Linked DNA regions of Mus musculus: regions 2, 3, 4, 5, 6 and 7 are each reported to be linked to region 1. Evidence: microRNA targets listed by miRTarBase, many of them from high-throughput screens and not tested one by one. Region 1 holds a microRNA gene; each other region holds the end of a gene's coding sequence. Distances are from middle to middle.
Evidence for each region. Region 1 holds the annotated microRNA mmu-miR-709 (GGAGGCAGAGGCAGGAGGA, at 2,135-2,153, shown strand). A microRNA usually pairs through its seed, bases 2 to 8, with sites in the 3' UTR of a target mRNA and lowers its output. Matches are read on the target gene's strand: a 7mer-m8 pairs with bases 2 to 8, a 7mer-A1 pairs with bases 2 to 7 and ends in A, and an 8mer does both.

Region 2: miRTarBase lists Mrpl57 as a target of mmu-miR-709. Seed matches in the 3' UTR shown: 7mer-m8 at 2,330-2,336.
Region 3: the mRNA of Exoc8 is a reported target of mmu-miR-709. Seed matches in the 3' UTR shown: 7mer-m8 at 965-971, 7mer-m8 at 959-965, 7mer-m8 at 953-959, 7mer-m8 at 496-502 and 7mer-m8 at 490-496.
Region 4: the mRNA of Resf1 is a reported target of mmu-miR-709. Seed matches in the 3' UTR shown: 7mer-m8 at 2,237-2,243 and 7mer-m8 at 2,231-2,237.
Region 5: the mRNA of Tnfrsf26 is a reported target of mmu-miR-709. Seed matches in the 3' UTR shown: 7mer-m8 at 1,118-1,124, 7mer-m8 at 1,769-1,775 and 7mer-m8 at 1,775-1,781.
Region 6: the mRNA of Npat is a reported target of mmu-miR-709. Seed matches in the 3' UTR shown: 7mer-m8 at 672-678 and 7mer-m8 at 666-672.
Region 7: the mRNA of Rbms2 is a reported target of mmu-miR-709. Seed matches in the 3' UTR shown: 7mer-m8 at 1,710-1,716, 7mer-m8 at 1,704-1,710 and 7mer-m8 at 1,327-1,333.

The regions. Positions count from the first base shown.
Region 1 is chr8:84,084,033-84,087,032 of GRCm38, forward strand. It overlaps Mir709 (microRNA 709), which reads left to right and starts at 2,067; the gene lies at 2,067-2,154. It overlaps Rfx1 (regulatory factor X, 1 (influences HLA class II expression)), which reads left to right. Exons shown (of 21, transcript NM_009055.4): 7 at 50-142; 8 at 1,541-1,635.
Region 2 is chr14:57,826,561-57,829,655 of GRCm38, reverse strand. It overlaps Mrpl57 (mitochondrial ribosomal protein L57), which reads right to left. Exons shown (of 2, transcript NM_026401.2): 2 at 911-3,095. The coding sequence ends at 2,831. Among named protein-coding and RNA genes, the nearest start is that of Mrpl57, 1.9 kb to the right of the region's middle.
Region 3 is chr8:124,892,877-124,895,971 of GRCm38, forward strand. Exoc8 (exocyst complex component 8) reads right to left here. Exons shown (of 1, transcript NM_198103.2): 1 at 1-3,095. The coding sequence ends at 2,600. Among named protein-coding and RNA genes, the nearest start is that of Exoc8, 3.3 kb to the right of the region's middle.
Region 4 is chr6:149,334,279-149,337,373 of GRCm38, reverse strand. It overlaps Resf1 (retroelement silencing factor 1), which reads right to left. Exons shown (of 5, transcript NM_026054.3): 5 at 1,711-2,782. The coding sequence ends at 2,625. Among named protein-coding and RNA genes, the nearest start is that of Gm38930, 17 kb to the left of the region's middle.
Region 5 is chr7:143,607,211-143,610,305 of GRCm38, reverse strand. It overlaps Tnfrsf26 (tumor necrosis factor receptor superfamily, member 26), which reads left to right. Exons shown (of 8, transcript NM_175649.5): 8 at 246-2,621. The coding sequence ends at 262. Among named protein-coding and RNA genes, the nearest start is that of Gm15579, 8.7 kb to the right of the region's middle.
Region 6 is chr9:53,572,178-53,575,272 of GRCm38, reverse strand. Npat (nuclear protein in the AT region) reads right to left here. Exons shown (of 18, transcript NM_001081152.1): 18 at 1-2,702. The coding sequence ends at 2,625. Among named protein-coding and RNA genes, the nearest start is that of Acat1, 37 kb to the left of the region's middle.
Region 7 is chr10:128,131,006-128,134,100 of GRCm38, forward strand. Rbms2 (RNA binding motif, single stranded interacting protein 2) reads right to left here. Exons shown (of 13, transcript NM_019711.2): 12 at 2,636-2,720; 13 at 1-2,362. The coding sequence ends at 2,640. Among named protein-coding and RNA genes, the nearest start is that of Gm51821, 7.0 kb to the left of the region's middle.

The sequences.
Region 1 (3,000 bases):
GCCATGGTTACCATACTCGAACTTGCCTCTCCTTGCCCTTCTTTGCCAGAGGTCAGTAGTCCAGGCCACTCCACAGACCAAAGCTGGCCCGGTGCAGCAGCTGACTGTGCAGGGACTGCAGCCAGTTCACGTTGCTCAAGAGGTGCGTGTCCTATCTGTCTATGTCGGGGCAATCAGACTAGTCCTGGGCTGTGGCTGGAGGTACAGGCACCTAATCCAGAGGGAGGAATGGAGCCAGCTGGGGACCCTAAAGGGCAGACAGTGGGGGCAATTGAGGTTTGAAGCCCTGCAGAAGTGAGGTTTCACTCTAGCCCTCGGCTTCAGACTTCATCCTGAATCCGTCCCCATCCCAGCACCTGACCACTCAGGACACAGGTCTTGTTGAAAGAGGGCTGGATTCGAATTCCGCTTCTTTCTGATAGTGCCCAGTTCGTTCCTCTCTTCTCTAAGGAGATCCCAAGTGGGGAATCTTCATTCGGGTGGCCATGAGTTCACAGCCGGGTGATACCCCAGTGTCTCTGTTTGTCCTCCAGAGCTCAGGCAGTCAGTTTCCCGCTAGGAAGGCAGAGCAGCAAGAAACCCGGCCCACGCCGCCGCCGGAGCCGCCGCCCCGGCCTCCCGGGCCTGGGCCAGTGTGCTGCGGCGAGGTCTTGCAGCTAGGCAGCGAGCAGCAGCCGCTCCATTACGAGCCGGGTGTGGAGCAGTGGGTGGAGCTGGTGGGCATGCTGCCCCCACACCTGCTCCTGCCGCAGCAGAGGGTGGTCTTCGAGCCACAGCGGGGGCTCTCGGCCCGAGCCAGCCCCGACCTGAGGGTCAGGATCCACAGAATGCCCCAGGTGCTAGTGTTCGGCACCGCCCTCAAAGTAGGTGGCGGCGGACAGCGGAGGCACGGCAGGGGGCGGAGGGCGGGCAGGGGAAGGGCATTCAGCCCAGCAAGCCGCTTTGCCTCGCCTTCAAGTCCAGGCTCCCAGGCTTCGCCCCTGCAACCCAAGGCGGGTGGGGTGAGATGTCTTTACCCTGTCCCCCAAAGTGCTGCCAGTCATTCTTGTTCTGCCTCAGGGACTGGGTCCCAGACACGGCTCCTGCAAACCAGGGTTGGGGGTGGAGGTAGGCTATCCAGTACCTGCCCCTAAGGTGTTGTCAGTTGTTTCTAGTTGTTCTATCAACTGATCCCTCTTCAGGCTCCACCCCTAATCTGCTTGGGAAACCTTTTTGGTTTCCAGAAAACCCCCAGGCCCGGTTTTTAGATTGCAAACCCACCTCTCAAGCCCATTGCAGAATTCTGTCTGGTATCCCCTCCTTTGCTCATAAGCCTTAGAAACCTCTTTGCCAAAGCAGAGAATCCCAGCACCTCCTGTTTTCCAGCCACAACTGAGACCTGGCCCCACCTAAGCCTCCTACCTAAGCCTCCCACCTCTGGCCCATGTTGTTCAGAAAACCATGATGTGCAACCTTCTAGATGGGGATGTATGTGGGCATCAGTGAACCCGTGGGTGGTGGTCAGCCCTGACCCATGACCCTGCTTTTCCTCCTGCTTCAGGTACAGCAACTCCCTCAGGTGCCTGTCCCACACGTGTATTCCAGCCAGGTGCAGTACGTGGAAGGTGGCGATGCCAGCTACACAGCCAGCGCCATGTAAGTGGGCAGAGGGTGGAAGGAGGGCTCAGATGTGGTTAGGGCCACAATTCTAACTCCCAGCTGGCCCCCAAGGCTCAGGTGATAGCCCCACACCTGTGGGGTGCCAGGAATATAGGCAGCTGGTAGCAGAAGAGACACTGGCCCATTGGGAAGGCACCTCCACAAATTAGGAGCTGTGCAGTTAGATGGATCTGGATTTTAGGCAGGAAAAGGGGAAAGAAAAAGCATACATATATGTATTTATACATACATTTTTACAACATAAACTTTTTTTGAGACAATGTCTCTCTGTATAGCCCTCACTGCCCTGGAACTTGATCTGTAGACCAGGGTAGCCTTGAACTCAGAGATTTGCCTGACACTTCCTCTCTCGTGCTGGAACCACAGGTTCTCAATCTGACCCTCAGTGTCCCACAGAGTAATTAGTGTGTCCCGTTTCTCTGCTTCTACTCAGAAGTGCTCTGAGCATAGAACTGTCCTGTTTGAGCAGCACTGGGGAGGCAGAGGCAGGAGGATTGTCTTTTGTTATATTGACTTATGTGTGGGGAGAGTGCATGTGCTGTGGTGCAGGTGGAGATCAGAGAACAACCTAGAGGAGTCCGTTTTCTCTCTCCTTTACACAGGTTGCAGGGGCAAATCCAGTTCCTCGGGCTTGCATATTCTGTCTTACAATTTTTCTTGGGGGTTAGGGAGATAAATCAGTAAATGGCTTGCTTCTTGCTTATCAGACCTGAGAAGCAAGGTCATGACCTGAGGTCAGAACTCAAGTACTAGGTAAGAGGTTCATGTGGTGAGTCTCTGACCCCAGAGCCACCTTGCTGGCCCTCGTGTGTGTGTGTGTGTGTGTGTGTGTGTGTGTGTGTGTGTGTGTGTGTGTGTGTGTGTGTGTGTATACACATGTGTTCGAGTGTGTGCATGGGATGATGGGGGGGGGTTGTATGCACCATGTATTGAGCGTAGTGCCAATGCTAACACTGGAGTCTGTTTGCTGTGTGGCTTTGGGGATCAACCCCAGGTCTTCGGTCTTGATGGCAAACATCCCCACCCACTGAGCCACCTGCAAGGCTCAAGTTTTCCTGCTTTAATCACTGTCACATTGGGAGGGCTCAAAGAGCAAAAGTGAGAGGTGGCCCTGCCTGTCCCCTCCCCACAGAGAGCCTTCTGCCTACACACAGGGTGGTCTTTTCCTCATCCCAACCTCTCGTTTCTGGCTGTCCATCGGTACCCAGTGGAGGACTCAAGGCAATCATGTTGCGTCTCCTCTTCCTGCCTCACCCCCTCTAGTCTGCAGCCTGCAGAGATGGGCCCAAATGTTAGGGTGGCTTGCTTGCTACAGTTGCCCCTCTTAGATCTGCGGCTTAT
Region 2 (3,095 bases), not on the chromosome of region 1:
CTAGCTACCAGCAGCCTTTTCTTGGCTTTTTTGTTTAGTCTTTTTCCTGTTCTAGGCCTCCAGCCTGGGCCTTTGCACATGGTAAGCAAGCAGACAGCTAGCCCTGCCTGTCCTGGAACTCACTCTGTAAACCAGGCTGGCCTTGAACTCAGGGATCTGTCTGCTTCTCCCTCCCAAGTGCTGGGATTAAGTGTGCACCCTCACCGCCTGGCTTCAACCTTTTCAAATGAAAGTGATGCCTGTATCATGTAGCCCTTTCAAAGTTTTGGAGATGTTTTGTGTGTGCTGGAAGTACAGTTTGAAAAAACTCCTATAATCCCAGCACTGGAGGACAGTGACTATTTGTAGGTCAGCAGTCTCTGGATCATACTTTATTCTTCTTTCACTGTTTAATTTTGCTACCATAAACAGTACAGCAAGAAACAAATTCACTAGTATCTTCTGTGTTACTGCTGAGCATAAAGTGGTACAGTATTAATGGACACCATTTTGACAGTGGCAGTGTACAAAGGATTCATTACCACTTTTAAGACTGTTCCACACACTGTAGTCATTAAGAATGCATGTATACTGACATGCTTGACAGCAAGGTTTATTGGAGAAAAAAAAATAAATGTCCATTACCAATAGATGTTAACAGGCATATCTATATTATTGTGCATGTAATAGAAATATGGGATCTGTATAGATTCACAAAAAGGCCCATGATACACTAATGCAGTCAACAAGCAAGTTTGCTAGGCATGGTGGTGCATACTTACAATCCCAGCAATTGAGGGGAAGAGGCAGGAGGATCACTGACTTCAAGGCCAGCCTGGGCTACACATTTAAAAAAAGGAAGTTCAAATCGTTGAAAAATGTAACCACCAGAATGGATGGCAAAGGAAATAAATTACATTATGCATTTTTAAAAAGCCAATATAAATTATTTTACTTACAGATCCTTCTTCCCAAAAACAGAGATGAACAATAGTGGGGAAGTCAGGTTTCTACAAAGAGAATGAAGGATGCTATAGCAATGGAACCATGGTTATATGACAACTAAGTAGACTTGTACACATAAACATGGGTGCATATGCAAAGCTCTACAGAGTATAGCAATTTCTAGGTTTTGATATGGTTAGAGGAAAAATGTTACTTGGTTATAGTTACAATGGACTTGTACTTTTTTCTCTTGGTAACTTTATGAAATCACCAACTCAAAAGATTAAAAAGGATTGGGTATGGTAGTATATAGCACTAGGGAGACAGAGATCGGTGCCCATCTAAATTTGAGGCCAAGACTATACAGTAAGATCTGTATTAAAAAAATAATACTATACAGAGAAACCCTGTCTTGAAAAATCAAAAAAAATATATTAATAATAAAAAAATCCCAAGTTGCTCTGCATCTGTAGACCCAGAAACTCGGGAGACTCGGTCAGGAGGATCAATTCAGTCCATAAGTTCAACAACCTACACAGACCTACTCAAAAAAGTTGTGTGCACAGGTGGTGGTGGTACACACCTTTATTCCAGCACTTAAGAGGCAAGAGGAAGGCAGTTCTCTATGAGTTTGAGGCCAGCCTGGTCTACAGAGTGAGTCTGACAACATCTAGGGCCACACAGAGAAAACCTGTCTTGAAAAACAAACCAACAACATTAAAAAAAAAAACAAAAAACCAAAAACGGTGTTTTTAAACAAACTTTAAAAAAAAATTGCACTGTTTGTATCCATTTAGGAGTTCCAGGCTAAGGTGGGCAATATAGACGAGCTCAAAAAACCAAACAAACAGAAATTTTCCTGTTAACAGTTCTAGTAAACATCTTTACTTCACACGTCCACTCACAGAATCCAAATTCTAAAAGAAAACACTCTTCTTTTGGGAAATGGTCTCATCTATCTCAGGCTGGCCTCAAATTTGCATGGAAGTTGACCTAACACTTCAGATCCTACTTCCACTTACAGAATGCTGTGAAATCAAAGGCAGGCTCTATTCTAGAGCAGTGGTTCTCAACCTCCCTTACACTCTTTAATACAGTTCCTCATGTTGTGGTGACTCCAACCATAACATTATTTTCATTGTTACTTCACAACTGTAATTTTGCTGTTATCATAATACAAATCTCTGATACTCAGCCTCATGAAAGGGTTCTGCAACCACCACAAGGGGTCATGCCCAACAGGTTGAGAATGGCTATCCTAGACAGAAAGTAAGAAAACACCCCTTGTACAACAAAGCTCTAGCCAAGTACCTCAGCCTTAAGACTCATCAGTTTGTAGTTTTACAGCATTTAAATCTAAAAGGTGCAAGGTATGGTGGCACTTGCCTTTAGTCACAGCACTTGGGAGGCAGAGGCCAGTAGATCTCGGAGGTCAAGGCCAGCCTAGCCTATACAGCAAGTTCTATGGCTATATAGTGAGACAAACAAAAAAAAAAAAAACCCCACATTTTACAGAAGGGCAGGGAACCATGCCTGTAATTCCAGTAGCTAGGCACAGGGAGGGCTGCTGCAAGCTTTAGGCCAGAAAAAATAAAAAACAACCCTGAAAATAGACCGATTATGCACATATGGAGCCTCAAACAGTCTCTTTTGGCCTTCTGAGTCTAGGTCTTACTAACTACATCAGCAAAGATTTTCCTGCCTCCACCTCTTAATGTTGGGATTACAGGTGTGAAACAAACGCCTAGGTAGGGTCCCAAGTATTCCGTATGAGACAACTATTAATCAATCATGTTTGCTTTAATAAGATACTGGTCGAAGGGGTCACACTGGTACATAAATTACATTTTCTCAGCTCCAGGACCAAGTAAGGATAGAGCAGTCCGGTATCCATAATCTTGAAGGGTTAGGACCATTTCTTCGAGATGTTGAGATGGTCTAGCTGGTCTGCAATGTATCTATGCTTAGGGAACTTGGAAGTGGCCGCTGCCTTGATGGCTTCAAAAGCCTGGGCCCGTCGCTCCGCGGCGTGGCCGCACTCCTGCTCTGCTGTCATGTAGGGCATGCTGAGCCAGTAGTGGTTCTCGGCCTCCACCTCCAGGCGACGGATCATGCTCTCCTTCGCTTGGAAAGACACGGTACGCGGCCGCCGGTGCTTCCCGATCCACTGC
Region 3 (3,095 bases), 41 Mb from region 1:
ATCAGAGGCTGAATTCTCTAACTGAAATTAACCCAGTCTGTGATTCCTGGTCTATGCAGTTAGTTTTAAAGCAAACAAAAGGTGGTTAATGTCACAGCACGTCAGCATGTGTGGAACTACCACTGCTAGACAATCCTTCAAGCTTCCTGCAGATTTCCCAGACTGCATTCCCTCAGCTACACAGAGGAACACATTAGCCCGTTCTTAGCAGAATAAAGTTCTCTACTTCCATTTCCATAAAGATACAGCCATTTATTATGTGGGGAAACATGTTAGCCTTCTTACACCTCGAGGCCTTATGCACGGTTTATCTATTAAATTCCAAGTGGCACCAAATCGGCATCGCAGCCACACAATTTCATCAAATCCAAGTCCAGTGAGCTTAAGAGAAATGAGTACATTTGTTTGGCTGGGACATCCAGTTATGGTTATGTAGAAAACTCTAACTTAGCAAGGCATAGTGGAGCATAATTTAATCCCAGCACTCAGGAGGCAGAGGCAGGATGACCTCTGTGAGTTCAAGACCCGCTTGGTCTTCATTGTTGATTTAAATCAACAAACCCTAACATGGGAAAGTGGAAGGCTGCAGTGGTGACCTCTGCGATCTTTCTATGCATGGAGAGCTAGAAAAAGACAGAGAAACTGCTGGCCTGATGAGTTAATGAAGCTGAGGAGTCTTAACAACCCTGAATCACTGCAGAAGCCATTTAGGGTTTTACATCATTTTATGGCTTACTACTACCTCTTTTATTCAAGAGACAAGAAATAGCCTTTAGACCCAATGGACATAAAAACATGGCATCGTTGACAAAACCCACAGCTACAAGCTAGTGGGAAAATGGGTTTCAGCACCCACATTCTAACAGGACATTAAGTGATCAGAGCAGAGCTCACTTTAGAAATCAGGGGCAAGCCGGGCATGGTGGCGCATGCCTTTGATCCCAGCACTTGGGAGGCAGAGGCAGAGGCAGGAGGATTTCTGAGTTCAAGGATAGCCTGGTCTACAGAGTGAGTTTCAGTACAGCCAAGGCTATACAGAGAAACCCTTGAAAAAACAAAAAACAAAACAAAAAAACAAAAAAAAAACCAAAAAAAGAAAAAGAAAAAAAAATAAAAGCTTAGGGGCTCCACCTACCCACCTATCCCTACTCAACAACCTGAAGTAAGTATTACAATCTGGAATTCTCTTAAAAGTTGTTTTTAAGGCAGGGTCTCTACAGATCCCTGGCTGTCCTGAAATTCACCTTGTTGATCAGGCTGGCCTTGAACTCAGAGATCCGCTTGCTCCTGCCTCCCAGTGCTCTGATTAAAAGTGTGCACCAGCATGCCAGGCTCTTGTTTTTTAAAATGCAGCACAGCATTTGAAGAGTCACAGAAGGTCCCTTCCCTGTGCTTGAGGTATGTGCATCTCTACTCAGTTACTAAGTTTCAAAAACCATCAGGGCAGCAGGTGTAGCAGTGGGTAGGGTGCTTGCCTAGTATGAGAAAGCCAGGGTTTTTTTTCTCCAACACAGCATAAATAGCATTATGGCACATTCCTGTAATCCCAGCCCTTGGGATGTGGAGTCAGGATTAGAAATTCAAGGTCATCCTTGGTTACAGCACCAGCCCAAAACCAGTCTGGGCTGAAACTTATCTCAAGAAAACAAAATGACCAAAACCAAATCTCTGGCATTCTTAAGGAGTGACATTGCATTCTTTTTTTTAAAACTCCTAACCTACACACAGCCTGAACTCTTCTCAGACAGGGAGTTCTGCATTTGCCAGAAGTCTCAGTGCCTCCAAACCCAGGCTGGTGGTGAAGTGTCTGCAGGGGCTGGAGTCACTTACCCGCCTACTGCTAGGATCCTTGGTGTGGCTTTTCAGCAAGACTTACTTCCTGAACATGGCAAAACACGCTGCAGCAGCAAATCCATTCAGTTCTGGAATATGTTAAAAATTCAACGTAGTCCTTGTGATTCTCCCACCTCCCCCAAAAAGATGCATCCAATTAGCCATGGAACATGCTACTTTTCAGTGACTTTTGGATGCCTGCAAAGTTTTATAAAGGCTTCCTTCCACATGCTACAAATACTGACAGACCTGAGGCCCACATATTGAAATTTATCCCAAACCAGTTTTCCCAACTCATTTCTTTTCATGTTGATCTGTCTCAGTACAGGACACAGGTGTGTCACACAGCACTGACCATTACGAAGCCATTTTGTTGACTTGGAATGTTTTACAACATACTTAAACCCTGTGGACCTAATATTTTTCTAGGCAGCATGGAAGTGCACTGCTCCTAGATGTGCTAACGTGAGAAGTGTCTTTCAAGTTAAAGAGTAGCCTGAAATGTTCTGGTGTGACCATACACTCTACTTAAAGAATTATTAAAAAACAGAGCAAGACATGGTATGTGCTCTTGACAGTCCCAGTATTGGGGGGTTGTATGTGATGCTTAACACATTATCTTTCTCCTTTTGACTGCATTTTTCAGAGGGCACTTTTATATGCTGTCTGTGTCTCTGAGGAATGTGCTGACATTGTGTAATGTAAATACAAATGACGCATCTGTAGCACGTGTACACGTACACACACAAAGACACAGAGCAGAGCCTCAGACCACAGAAGTCGTGCTCTCGGGATTCACCCGCAGGAGCCGGGATGCGTTCCGGAGGTCCTGCAGCTGCTTGGCGGGCTTCCCCACACCTTCCTCAAACCTCCTCTCCACCACCGGGAGGACAGTTTCATAGAGAAAGGATGCGTTCTGCCTGATGAAGGCCTTCTTCTCGGGGTCCTGCTCACAGCGCAGGCTGTAGTCCACATGCTGCACAGCCACCAGGATGATTTCTACCAGGCTCTCCAGGAGCACCATGTGGAGCTCAGGGAAGTACAGTTTCAATGCCTCCTCCAGGAAGCCCATAGTCTGCTTGGTGAAGGCTACCACCGTGTAGCTCAAGTTCACCCAGCAGTCATCTCCCGTGTACTGCTCAAAGTTACTGACCCCGCAACTTTTCATCTCCTCCTTGAGCTTGCCCAGGGCCTCAGGAGTCATCAGGTTCATGCGGCGCCACATCTCCTCCGAGTTTCGGTGCTTGGTGGCTTCAATGATA
Region 4 (3,095 bases), not on the chromosome of region 1:
GCACTCAGGATGCTGAAGGACTGAATGAATTACACAGAGTGACCTTTTCTCCAAAAACAAAACAAAAACAAAAACCCAAAAAACAAAACAAACAAAAAAACAAAAACCCAACCAAATAAAAATCACATAAATAAGAGCCATGACTCAGTGGGTAACAGCACTTGAAGCCATGTCTGAAAACCTGAGTTCAACTCCCCAGAATCTACATGATAGAAGGAGGGAACCATCTTCCTAAAGCTGTGCTCTGAACTCTGCAGGCCATCATATGGGTGGGTACACACACACACACACACAAACACAATATATCTTTTTAAGGCAAACAAACAATGGTGTGTGTGTTGGGGGGAGAGGGGAGGAACATAGCACTGAGTTAAAGCCAAGTTGGGCTATATAGTTAGTTCCAAGTCAGCAAGGTCTGAGTGAAACCCTTAAGAAAGGGAGGCGGGGAGGAAAAAGAAAACAAGAGGTAGAAATGAGCATATAATGGTGAAAAAATTATTTTCTTTTTGACGTATAAGATAGTAATGAAAAGGTCAGCTTAGGAACTTTGAGAAGGTCATGAAACACTTGCCCCTCCAAAGAGGCTAATTAACATTTCTCAGATCACAGGGTGGGAACCAACCTGTGTTTGGGGACACATTCCATAGGACTATTGCTCACTTTCAGACATCGGAAGTCCTTGTCACCTCATTCCCTAAAGACCAATCAGTTTAAAGGGTGCACTGTTCTGCCAATCATATTGTGCCTAGTTGCTGATGCTCTATTCTGCCCCTAGAAACCATATAAAAACTCACCGAAGGGGTTCTAGGGGTTGCCGCCTCTCCTTCGAGTCTGGGGCAACCCCAGTGCACTGGTAAAATAAATTCCTCTTGCTTTTTGCATAGATCATAGTTCCACGCAGTTCACTCAGGGGGTCCCCAGTAAGCTAAGGCTCCTGGAGTCTTACAAAACCTCTTGCTTGTTGCATCAATCTCTGTCTCTGTGTTTCTGTGAGTGGGACATCCCAGACATAAGGCTCTTTGGGTCCTACATTTCCACTACTGCAAGAGGCAAAAGTTTTCTAAAAATAACCAATGCTCTCCTAGAAGCAAACATTCTGTTCCCAGTGTAGCACAGGCTGCCTTAGTCTCCCAGGGGTTGTGCCATCATATCTGACTTATCCACATGCGTCTATTAGTGAGGATACAAAACCATAGAGAAATGGAACTGAGAGGACTAAGTTAGCCTGAGTTAGGCTGCCTCCATGACAGGCTGCAAACTGGCAGTTTGGGAGACTAGGCCTAAGTTTCTGTTTCCCAGAACTGGAAAAGTCCAAAACAAGTCAATTCCAGAAAAACCCACCCCTCACGCATAGCCTATCGAGGAGTAGTCAGAAGCTGCCCCACTACCTAGCCTGAGCTGATAGTTAATCAGCAAAAGTCCCCCAAATCTTCCAGAGCCTAAACCAATCACAAAGGCAACCATATCCCTGGAGATATATCCAACCAATCAAGGGGAAGAAAGATAACCGTCACCACTACTACCCTAACAGGCTTTAAATTGATCCTGCAAGGTCCATATCTGTCTTTTATCGTCTTTCATCCCGATGTGTGGTAGACCCTTCCATGCTGGTTCTCTGCAGAATAAATGCTCTTTATTGTTGCATAGTTTGAATCTAGGGTATCATTTTTCAGGAATCACAGGCCCTTACAGAACCATGAAGACTTAAACTGTAGTTCTTTAAAAAATAAATGTTTATTTCAAGTATGAAAAGTAATGTTAAGACATCTTCCAAAAACTCCATTCACTTTAACAAAAGTATAAAACAAGACTTCTGAAAAAACCTTTACAATGAGGTACAAAATACTTGGAATATACTTTGACATTCACAATGGGCACTTTCTGAAAAATAAATTTTGCTAATGTGCTTAGAAACAAGAATCTATTTACAGCCCCAGTCAAACAACCAAGTTACCTCAGGATGACAGCATTTCAAAGTAAGGTTTGTATAAGCCACCCTCATTCCCCTTTTTTGGTTGCTGTTGTTTTGCTTTTAGAGAGAGGCTCCCATGTAGCCTAAGCTGACTTCACCAGACTCACTATTCTGTTGAGAATGACCCTGAATTCTTGATCCTCTTGTGTCCACGAGTCAAATGTTAGGGTCACAGGTATGCACCACTGTGCCAGCAAGACTTAAAACAGTAAACGTGAACCAGGCGTGGTGGTGCAGGCCTTTAATCCCAGCACTCGGGAGGCAGAGGCAGGTGGATCTCTGAGTTCAAGGCCAGCTTGGACTACAGAGTGAGTTCCAGGACAGCAAGGGCTACAGAGAAACCCTGTCTCAAAAAAAAAAAAAAAAAAAGAAAACAAAACAAAAAACCCAGTAAACACAGTTCAACAATGCAGATCACTGCATCATTAGCATACACTTTGTAATTCCCAGACAAATGCAATCTTTCTTTTTGCCTGCTCACCAGCAGCTAATCCAACATTTCAGTCACATAGTATCAGTGAAAAGCTATACAGGAACTCCTTGGCTGAGAAATCCCGATGTGACTGTCCTGAGGTATTTTCTGCAAGGGAGCCTGAAAAGAAAAGACTAGGGGTGTTCTCTTGGTAAAAACAAAAACCATGACTTCCTGGGACTATTTAACTGGACTACTCCCGAGGCTTCTGCTTCTCTTCTCAAGGTACATCTTTTTGTAGGTCCGGAACATGATATTTGATTCTTTTACTGGGTTTTGTAGTATTTCAAATTCATCTGCACTGAGGCTTCTCTTAGAAAGTCTTGAGTCAGCACTATCTGAGAAAATAAAAATGATACTTAATGTTCAGTACAACAAATATACAACAATCAGAAGTGAGACAAAATGTACAGTATCTGTATGGGAACAGAAAACAAAGCCAGATAGCTGAAATGGCAGTGCATGCCTATAATCTCAGCATTTTCAAGGTTGGGGAAGGAGAATCTTCAACTCAAGGCCAGTCTGAGTTTCACGGCAAAAATTTGCCTCAAAAAACCAAAGGAGGACCTAGAGAGATAGTTTGGTGGTGGCTATCTTTAGCCTCAGCACTTGGGAAACAGAGGCATTTAGATCTGAGTTTGAGCCTGGTCT
Region 5 (3,095 bases), not on the chromosome of region 1:
AGGCTTCGCTGCTTTCTGCCACCTGAGTAACAGATGGATAATAGGTTAGTGACAGTCTTGATCAGCCCTGTCCCAGCCTGGGTCTCCTGACCACTGGGTATTACTTGAGGACACAAAGAGCCTCTCCTATCCTGAGAAGCAGAATCACAGAACCACTGCAACTTTCCTCCTCAACATTCAAGAGATATAAATAGACCGACCCTTGGTTGTGTGTGTGTGTGTTCACTTTGTGTTTTATTTTCCAGCCTCCACTATGCTATGAAGCTCCGGAAAGTAAGCAGATGGCATTCCTGAAGATCACTGGATTTAAGGAAGTCGAGGAAGCAATGAACACTATTGTTTCTAAACTGGAGACTGACCTTGCAGGAATGTATTTGCAAACTGTGGCAACTTAGCTGCTAAAAATTGTGTTTGCTTCACCCTCGAGCTAGAGTCAAGTGTCCTTTGATACAGGACTGAAACATTCCAAATAGCCCATCTGAATTTGGAGCTGACATTCATCCCACTGCATACCCCGTGGACCCCCAGATATATGATGTGCCCTTCTCTCTTGTGAAGACCAGAGGGTTTCTCTCTGTATGCAGCCAGAGGGCTTCTCTCCTTGAAGCCTGCCTTGGCTGGCCTCAGAGTTAGGAGGTTTTGTGCTGTGAACTCGTAAGCTAAAGTCAGTTTGGGTTCATGGTGCTCAGTATGTTTTCCTAGAAGGCAAGGATGGGAGGACCCAAAAATGTTGTCCTTTGAGCCCACATCAGGATGTGGCCCAGACAAGGTGCTTTGTTATCCATAAAAACCCATAACAAAGCCCCTGGCAGGCCAGCCTGAGCAACTGTGGACTTTGCCACATCAGACACTGGGAATAGTGTCTGTGTTTTTAGGCTCTCCATCCCCCAGGCATCTCAGAACTAGCCTTAGTCTTTAGTCCTCTCAACCCACAGTGAGCAGATGGAGGTGTGAATGGGAATTTCTCAGAAGCTATGTCTACATAAGTTAATTGATTAATTTATTATTATTTTATTTTATTTTTGGTTTTTAATAAGATAGGATTTCTCTATGTAGCCTTGGCTATCCTGGATCTCCCTTTGTAGGCTAAGCTGACCTGGAACTCACAGAGATCCACCTGCCTCTACCTCCTGAGTGCTGGGATTAAAGGCATACACCATCACTGCCTGGCTTAACATTTTAATGATGTAGAGAGGCATAGCTTAGGCTGTTCCAACCTAAGCAATGTCTTGCCTCCCTCTGGGTCAGAACTAACATGCTGTAGAGGGCACAAGGTTCTTGTGCTCACAGAGAAGTAGACCTGTTTTCCACCCAGATGTCTGGGAATGGATATAGTTAACATCCTGGTGTTCTGTGCTATTTGTAGACCTAGCACACACTTGAACAGACTATTGTCTTTGTTTATCCCAGACTCTTCCTCCATAGGCCTTTTGCCTGCCAATAGGCCCTTTTCTTGAATACTGTTGCTCAATAAATCTCATCCTTATAGGAGATGTCACTGTCACTTGTATATTAGAAAAGCCTAGGGGACCTCTGTGCTACCTGTAGGGCCAGGCCACTCTTGACTGCCACCGATTTTTATATGTGTTTATCCCAGATTTTTTCTTCTTAGACCTGTATCTCCAGCACTGTTTGTGAGTCAATAGACCTCTACCTCTGCCAAACTTATCTTGTTTTGTTTGTTTGGTTGGTTTGTTTTCTTGGTGTAGCCCCAGATGTCCTGGAACTCACTCTGTAGACCGGTCTGGCCTCAAACTCAGGAATCTACCTGCCTCTGCCTCCCAAGTGCTGGGATTGAAGTTGTGCATCACCATGCCAAGCTAACAGATCCCGTCTTTACGGAAGAGGCCATAAGTACTTTGTAAACTGTGTCAATGTCAACCTGTCTTAAGCATTATTGTACATAAGTGACCGAGTTAATTATCATCAAAAAACTTCCCCCGGAAATTTGTGCTGTGCTTAAATACAGCTAAAGTAAACTGCTGGGGTCAGACTCTAGAAGTTTGACCTAGCATAGGCTAAGTTGTGTTGAACTGGATTTCCTTTTGGCCTCAAATGGATCATTAGGCTGCCAGCCTTGGTGTTTGCAGAGATCCCCAAACATCCTGACAACAGATTTAAACCAAACCAAACCAAACCAAACCAAACCAAACCAAACTAACCAACACTATAGAACTATTCACTTGATAAAACTATTCTCCACCAGTCCAAGTACTGTGAATGCTGTCATATATCTGAAGCCAGAGCTGAGATTATCACTGTGCTGTAACGTTTAACCCTTCCTCTAGTGTGTCTGAAGAACGCCTTACTTTATAACTTTTTGTTCTGTTCTACAAAACTCCATGGAGCCATGAAATTGGGGTACCTAAATCTATGCTTCTAGGGCCATGGTCACTGAAATTTGGGTACGAAATAAAGTATTTCTAATTCCTTTTGAAAGCTGTGTTTTTGCTTCTACTTCAGGACTAGGGATGATGTCAGGCCCCAAGACCCGTTTGTGTGCTTTGAGCTTTTTGAAATATTAATGCTACCAAGGTGGTGCTTCTGCTCAAAGTTGTACAATATCACAGTATGTGCTTTGACCATTTCCTTTTTCTTTGTATTATGTGATGGTTGATTCTTAATTAAAAAACATTTTACTTGATATGTAATGATGTGTTTTAGTTAGGTTTCTATTGCTGTGGCAGACACTAAGACCAAAAGCAGCCTGGGGGAAAGAGTTTGTTTCGTTGTACACCTTGTAGTCCATCACGAAGTAAAGTCAGGGCAGGAATTCAAGCAGGAACCTGGAGGCTGGAACTGAAGCAGAGACCACAGAGGAAGACTTGCTCCTTATGGCTTTCTCAGCCTGCTTTCTTGCATACCTCAGAACCACCTGCCCAGGGGGTGACACCACCCACAGTGGGCTGGGCCCTCCCACATCAATCATTTTTTCAACAAAATGTAGCCAAGTGTGATGGCCCAAATCTTTAATCTCCAAATGGAAAGCAGGCAGATCTGTATGAGTTCTAGGCCATTCTGGTCTACATATAAGTCCCAGAACAGAGACTAGAGAGACCCTGTCTCAAAAAATAAAAGGTCCCACAGGCTTGCCT
Region 6 (3,095 bases), not on the chromosome of region 1:
TCTTTAACAATGTTTTGCCATGAAATGAGCTTTAATGTTAAGTTGGATAACAAAGAATTGGTTGTCAGAAGTTTTTGGACATTAGAATTGTAAAAGACTGTGACTCACAGTAAGAGGAGCATGTGAGCATGGGAAAGGAAAGTTTATTTAAAAAACTGTGGTAGCCACGTGTGGTAGCACATACTTTTATGCCCAGTACTGGGGAGGCTGAAGCTGGTGAATTTCTGTTTTAGGACATCCAGGGCTACACATAGAAACCCTATCCTGAAGAACCCCAGCACTACCACCAAAAACCAAACCAAACCAAAAAAAACCCCAAAACAGCGAAAAAACAAAACCCCCCAAACAACCAAACCCACAACATGAAGACAGCAGATGAAGATCTGAATTTGGATTTCAGGGACCCATGTAAAAGCCAGGAATGGCTGTGTTTACCCTTGCTTCAGATATGGCAAACAAACATAGGAGAATAGCTGGGACTTGCTGGCCAGCCAGCAGAAGAACCCTTTTCCTAAAGGAAAATGACAGAGAAATATAAAAATACCTGATATTTGTGTGTGTGTGTGCACTAACTGTCTTTGGACTATCTAGTGGTTTCAAGCTAGTTCACTAAGAATCTTGAAGGCCAGGAGGGGTAATATACACCTTTAACCCCTAGCACTTGGGAGGCAGAGGCAGGAGGATCTCTGTGAGTTTGACGTTAGTCTTGTCTACACAGGTCAACAAGAACTACATAGCTACCATCTCAAGAAACAAATCAAAATGACAAGAATCCTGAAGCTCTGTGTATGGTGCATGCCTGCAATATTGGCACTTAGAGGAGGTAGATGAGGAGGACCAGGACTTCAAAGTCACTGGACTATGTAATGAGTTCAAAGCCAGCCTGGCCTACAGGAAAGACACTGACTAAAAACACACATAGAGCTATAGAAAAGAGCATGAGTTAGTTTATATATGAATTCTCATTATGCAGCACATAGATATGAGTTACAGGAGAAAATCTGTAATTTCCTGCATTATATGAATTCCTGAAAAACACAGAGAATTAACTAAGCTACAAAGAAATTTAACCAATTTCTAAATATAAATCCAAACTGGTAAAGTTAATGAAAATATATTTATTCAAACCTAACTGTAGGACAGACCCAGACTGAGTTATGCAAACAGTAACTGTATGCTTAGTTAGCTCCTTAGGAGTAGAACAGCTCAGTCATAGAACATTTCTCAAAATATAAATTTGTACAGTAAAATCTAGCAATTAAAAAGACATAATTTACATCTTGAAGACGTTTTTGTTGTTGTTACAGTAGGATGGATTTATTTCTTAAAGGCCCAGTACAAAAAATGGTTGAAGAAAGTGACTTTTTAATAAAATATACACCCGTAGAAAAAAAAATCCTAATATGCTGATATTTAAACAGTAAGAACTTAAGAAAACACTTCAATATCTAGGCACAATCGGTCAAGTATTAATGATAATTTCTGTCATTCCTTTAAAGTTTAGGCCAGCTTTTCAACTTGACTGTTGTTTATGAGTCAGTCCAACACAGAGAAGGCACCTCTCACTCCCCTAAGGACCTTTTGAGAGTAACTATTTATAACACTTTAAAGAACACAAGGTTCTATAGGTTATGTATGAACACAGTTATTTACACATCCCATTTCAGGGTAAACTAAATTACAATATAACTATGATTTGCATTTTTACATCTTATGATGGATATGACTTTCAAAGACACCAGAAGACAATCCTCCATATAAGCTTTTACATACAAGATTTAAATTAAATGTGCATTGGTCACTAGTATGTGAAAAAGTCTATGAATTAGTGCAATTCTTTGTATCCCCAGTGCTTAGGGAAAGTTTACATATAATCAAGAAATCTCGACTACTACATAACTCAAATTTTTATGGCTCAATAGTCTAACCACTTAATGTTCTGTAAAAGATTTCAAAAAGTTGTAAGTGAAATATCAGAACACTTAATAAATGGTTTATAAAAATCTCTTTAAAACAAAGAGAATAGATGATCAGAATAAAGTATAAAACTTCAGAAATATAGTTTTTACTGAAATTTATGAAGGGTGATAAAATATTGACTCTAGGGGGAAATCATCATCCAACTGTTGTTTACTGATTAGATATTTTACTAACCAGTTGAGGTGGTTATCATTATTATTTTTTACTTAGTGGCTTATCTAATATTGGCTGAAGGTAATTTGTAAGAATAATTATCATCTTCCTCCAAAGGAGATGAGAAAGTACTCCAGAAGAATAAGCCTCGGGCGAAGTCAATCAAGACAGTGTGGGAATATTAGGTTGATTTAAGCTCTATTTTTACACAATATACACATGTACAATATACAGTGTCAAAGCTGTACAGTTTTGCAGATTGGGTTTACTTACATTTCTGCGTATGTTCTTTTAGAATACAAATATTCCATGAGAGTCTATTTACAAACTAGGAAGCTGCTTCAGAAACAGCATGACTTAGATATAAAGTGAAACCTCAGTACAGTCAAAGTGCAGGTCATGTTCGCAGTCTGTCTCTGGCCCGTTTCCTACTCGCCATCTGAAGGACACTAGTTTTAAATAGCTACTGGTCTCTGTGTCTGGGTGTTCGTTCACTCATCATAATGCAATGAGAGCAAGAATTTGTCCACATCCATTCCTGCTGGAAATGAACTAGGTAGCTTCTTTTTCTGTCAAAACAAACAAAAAAGAAGAGAAGGAAAAACAATAAACTCTAGGCCAGATAATTTTCTTAGCAAATCACCTAAAACACCGTATTAGGCTCTTTATTATTAAAATTGCATCATTTTTGAGTTTGTTAGAATTTATTTCCATAGGGAAAGACAGACAGGTTTTATTAACCCAATTCAACGTTAGTTTAGGGCAAAAGGCAAAAAAACAAATCTAGAGTATATATATGAATGTTCAGACAAGAGACATGCTTCCTTTAAAATGGTCATTTGTGTCAAATCATAAACTTACAAAACATTACCAACAGATACTGTTTTACTATACTATACTGATTTATTGTGTGCATGTGTGTATGTGTGTAAGTCAAAGGACTGCTTTTGGGAGTGTTTTTG
Region 7 (3,095 bases), not on the chromosome of region 1:
CCATTAACCACTATAAAAACAAAATTACAGGTTGCCCTCATTTCCCATGCTCACACCTGTTCAACCAGAAACACTAGAACCCTAACCAGTATACTCAAAAGAAAAACCTAAAAAGGTAATTTCAAATTTTAAAACTGTCAGTTATTCAAATTGCTTTAGAACTACAGAAAAAGGAACAATTTTTAATAGGCAGTGAAGGAGCAGCAGTGGCAGCAAGACTGTCAGCAGGGTTTCCACAGGACAGAGCTCTGAGTCTGTCACTGAGTGCTAGAGGGCTAGAGGTCGATAACTGGGTATGACCTTCCTGATGTTGGAAGCACCAATGAGAAAACTGGTCATTTTGTACTTTATGCTGTCCATTGTCCTCAGCCCCTTCCTCAGTCTAGAACGCACAGCAGCACAGTCAGGCCAGGATTCCCAATTCTGTAGTGTGCACAGCTGCTGAGCCAGTTTCTCACCATCACCATGCCCTGCCCTTCCTCTTTCACACTGACCTCTGGACACACTTCCCCATCTCCATTGCTTTGTCTACTGGAGGTGTACTTATGACGTGAAGGGATGTGATGTAACAAGTCACATTTTGTGCTGAAAGTCTTGCAGAAGGGAATAGTTAACGGCAGGCATGTTTACAAGTCCCTCCTGACCTTTGAGTGGCCAGGGAGCTGTGAGTCTTGCCTTTTTCTATCCTAGCACCCCGTCGTCCTTCCACAAGAAGGAAAATTATTTCTGGTGGTCTGGTTCCCTGGGGAAGGGGTCCAAACACCAGGGCTGGGCTGGGTATGCTGCATAGAGAAAGCTCAGTCCATTCTCAAGCATGCACAGTATACACAACAGTTCTTGCTTTCATCCCTTCAAACTGTGTGCACTTGGCATGTACATACAACCAAGGGTGAGCCCTGCTAAATAAGATGGCTCCTGCTGAATTAAGTGATTCAGCCAAGTACCACTTGAGTACAGCCATGTGCAGCTGGGATGAGAGGCTGTGAGAACCCAGGCAGAAAAGATCCTCCAGGAGGCAAAGTCACAGATGTCACTGCTGGCCAAGTACATGAACTAACAGGCTCCATGTCCAAGGCTGGACTGGGGTTTAGTCTACACCAAATAACTGCCAGGGAATAAGGGGTGGAGGAGTGGGGCCAGGTTCTGTCAGGTGTTCAGGACCAGCACACATGATACTCCCCAGGCTTGGTAATCAAGGATGATGATGGACAAGACAGCAGCCTCTCGGGGACAAAACAACCTCCTGGTAAAGTGGAAGGCAGAACTTGCTCAGCAGGGGCAGGGGCTGTGAGACCTGGGGCAGGATGAAGACCCAAGACCCTCCAGGAGGCAGAGCAGGTATCCAGGATGCTGAAGCTGGATGCCACTTCTCAGTGGCACTTGCCACCAGAGTTGGTTGAAGGTGGTTTCCAAAGGCTGCATGGTTGTCACATGTCTGCTTCCTGAAGTCAAAGTCTAACCCCTCCTAGGCCAGGAGGGCAGAGGGAAAGCAACCTCTACTGCCACACTTCTCTACCTGTGCGTTGCTCTCCCTTCCCCCAATTCCACATGAAATTTAAATCAAATTCATAAAATTAAAAATTGTAAAAAGGCAAAGTAGGCAGGCTAAGCTAAATGGAAAAGAAAAAAAGACCATTGTGGAGAAGTTTTAAAAAACAACTAGCCGGGCGGTGGTGGCGCACGCCTTTAATCCCAGCACTTGGGAGGCAGAGGCAGGTGGATTTCTAAGTTCGAGGCTAGCTTGGTCTACAAAGTGAGCGCCAGGACAGCCAGGGCTACACAGAGAAACCCTGTCTTGAAAAAAAAAAAACCAAAAAAAAAAAAACAACTAGCTAGGCATGGCGGTGCACTCAGACAGAGTGGGAAGGATCGCTGAGTTCAAAGCCAGCCTGGTCTACATTGTCAGCCAGCCAGGACTGCACTGTGAGACCCTGCCTTAAACAGTGCGTGGGAGGGAGGTGGGTGGGTGTGTGCAAAGTGTGTGTTGAGAGCTTTGCAAAACAAAAGTTTTAAGCCTGCATATCTAAAACACACATTGAAAATAGTCCCTAACTGAACCTGGCAAGCAGCGCCCCTTCACTGACTTCACAGCACTGCGATTGTTCTTAAACCATTTTAAAAGCCCAACATACCCAAACCTCTCGAAGATGAGAAGCACCTCAACTGGTGTCTTTGGGGTAGGAGAAAGGTTCGCTGCAATTAAATACAAAGCAAGAAACTTCTTTTGCAAAAGAAAAAAAAGTCTTTTTGATCTTGAATGTAGCACATTCAAAAAAAAAAACCAACGTGATTCCTCAGGTTCCATCAGCCACAGGAAGGAGCCCAAGGAGGACTGCATAGGCTTCTCTCCCCAGGTCTGGACCTGTGAGGGAATGACAGCCAGGTGTTAGTGCTCAGCAGGCTACAGCTAGGCTTGTAACTTGCTAAACCTTCTGGAGTCTGTGAGCATCTCCAAGAGTTCCTTTCTGTTTAACAAAGATGGGGGGAAAGAATCCTAAAGGAGGCATTAGCTGGAGACGATACGAAGAGGACACGACTATTAATTAACCTGTCTGGCTATTGGCAGAACAAAGCTGCAAGCACCATCTTCCAGTTCAGCATAGCATAGCAGCATTCCCCACCATAAAGTTCTTACCTCATTATTTGCTGAACTGGAAAGGATAGACCCCGTGGTCTGAGGGGGGCTCCACTGCCAGTTGATTCTGCTGGCCATTGCTCTCCTGTATCACAGCCAAGGAAAGTTACTGAAGCATTCCTACACGCACCTCCCACTAAAGCCTCCCCAATTCAGCCACACACACACACACCGCCCCCAACGCATGTGTGCATCCAACATCCAGACTGCCAGAAAGCGGGCAAAGTGGTCCAGCTACCTTGGAAAATACTTCAGCATTTGCTCATTTTCAGAGTATTGAGGCAGCTGAAGTCAGCATCCCTGTCTAAATTGAACAGAGCAGGCTGGCTAAACACCAATGAAGCCGCCTCCTGCTCTCCTCACAACCACCAGTGAGGATGCCGGCGGTAGGCAGTACCGAGAGAGGAGTACACAGTTCAGAGATCTGCCCTTGATGTGTCCTGGCCTCACTGCAAAACAA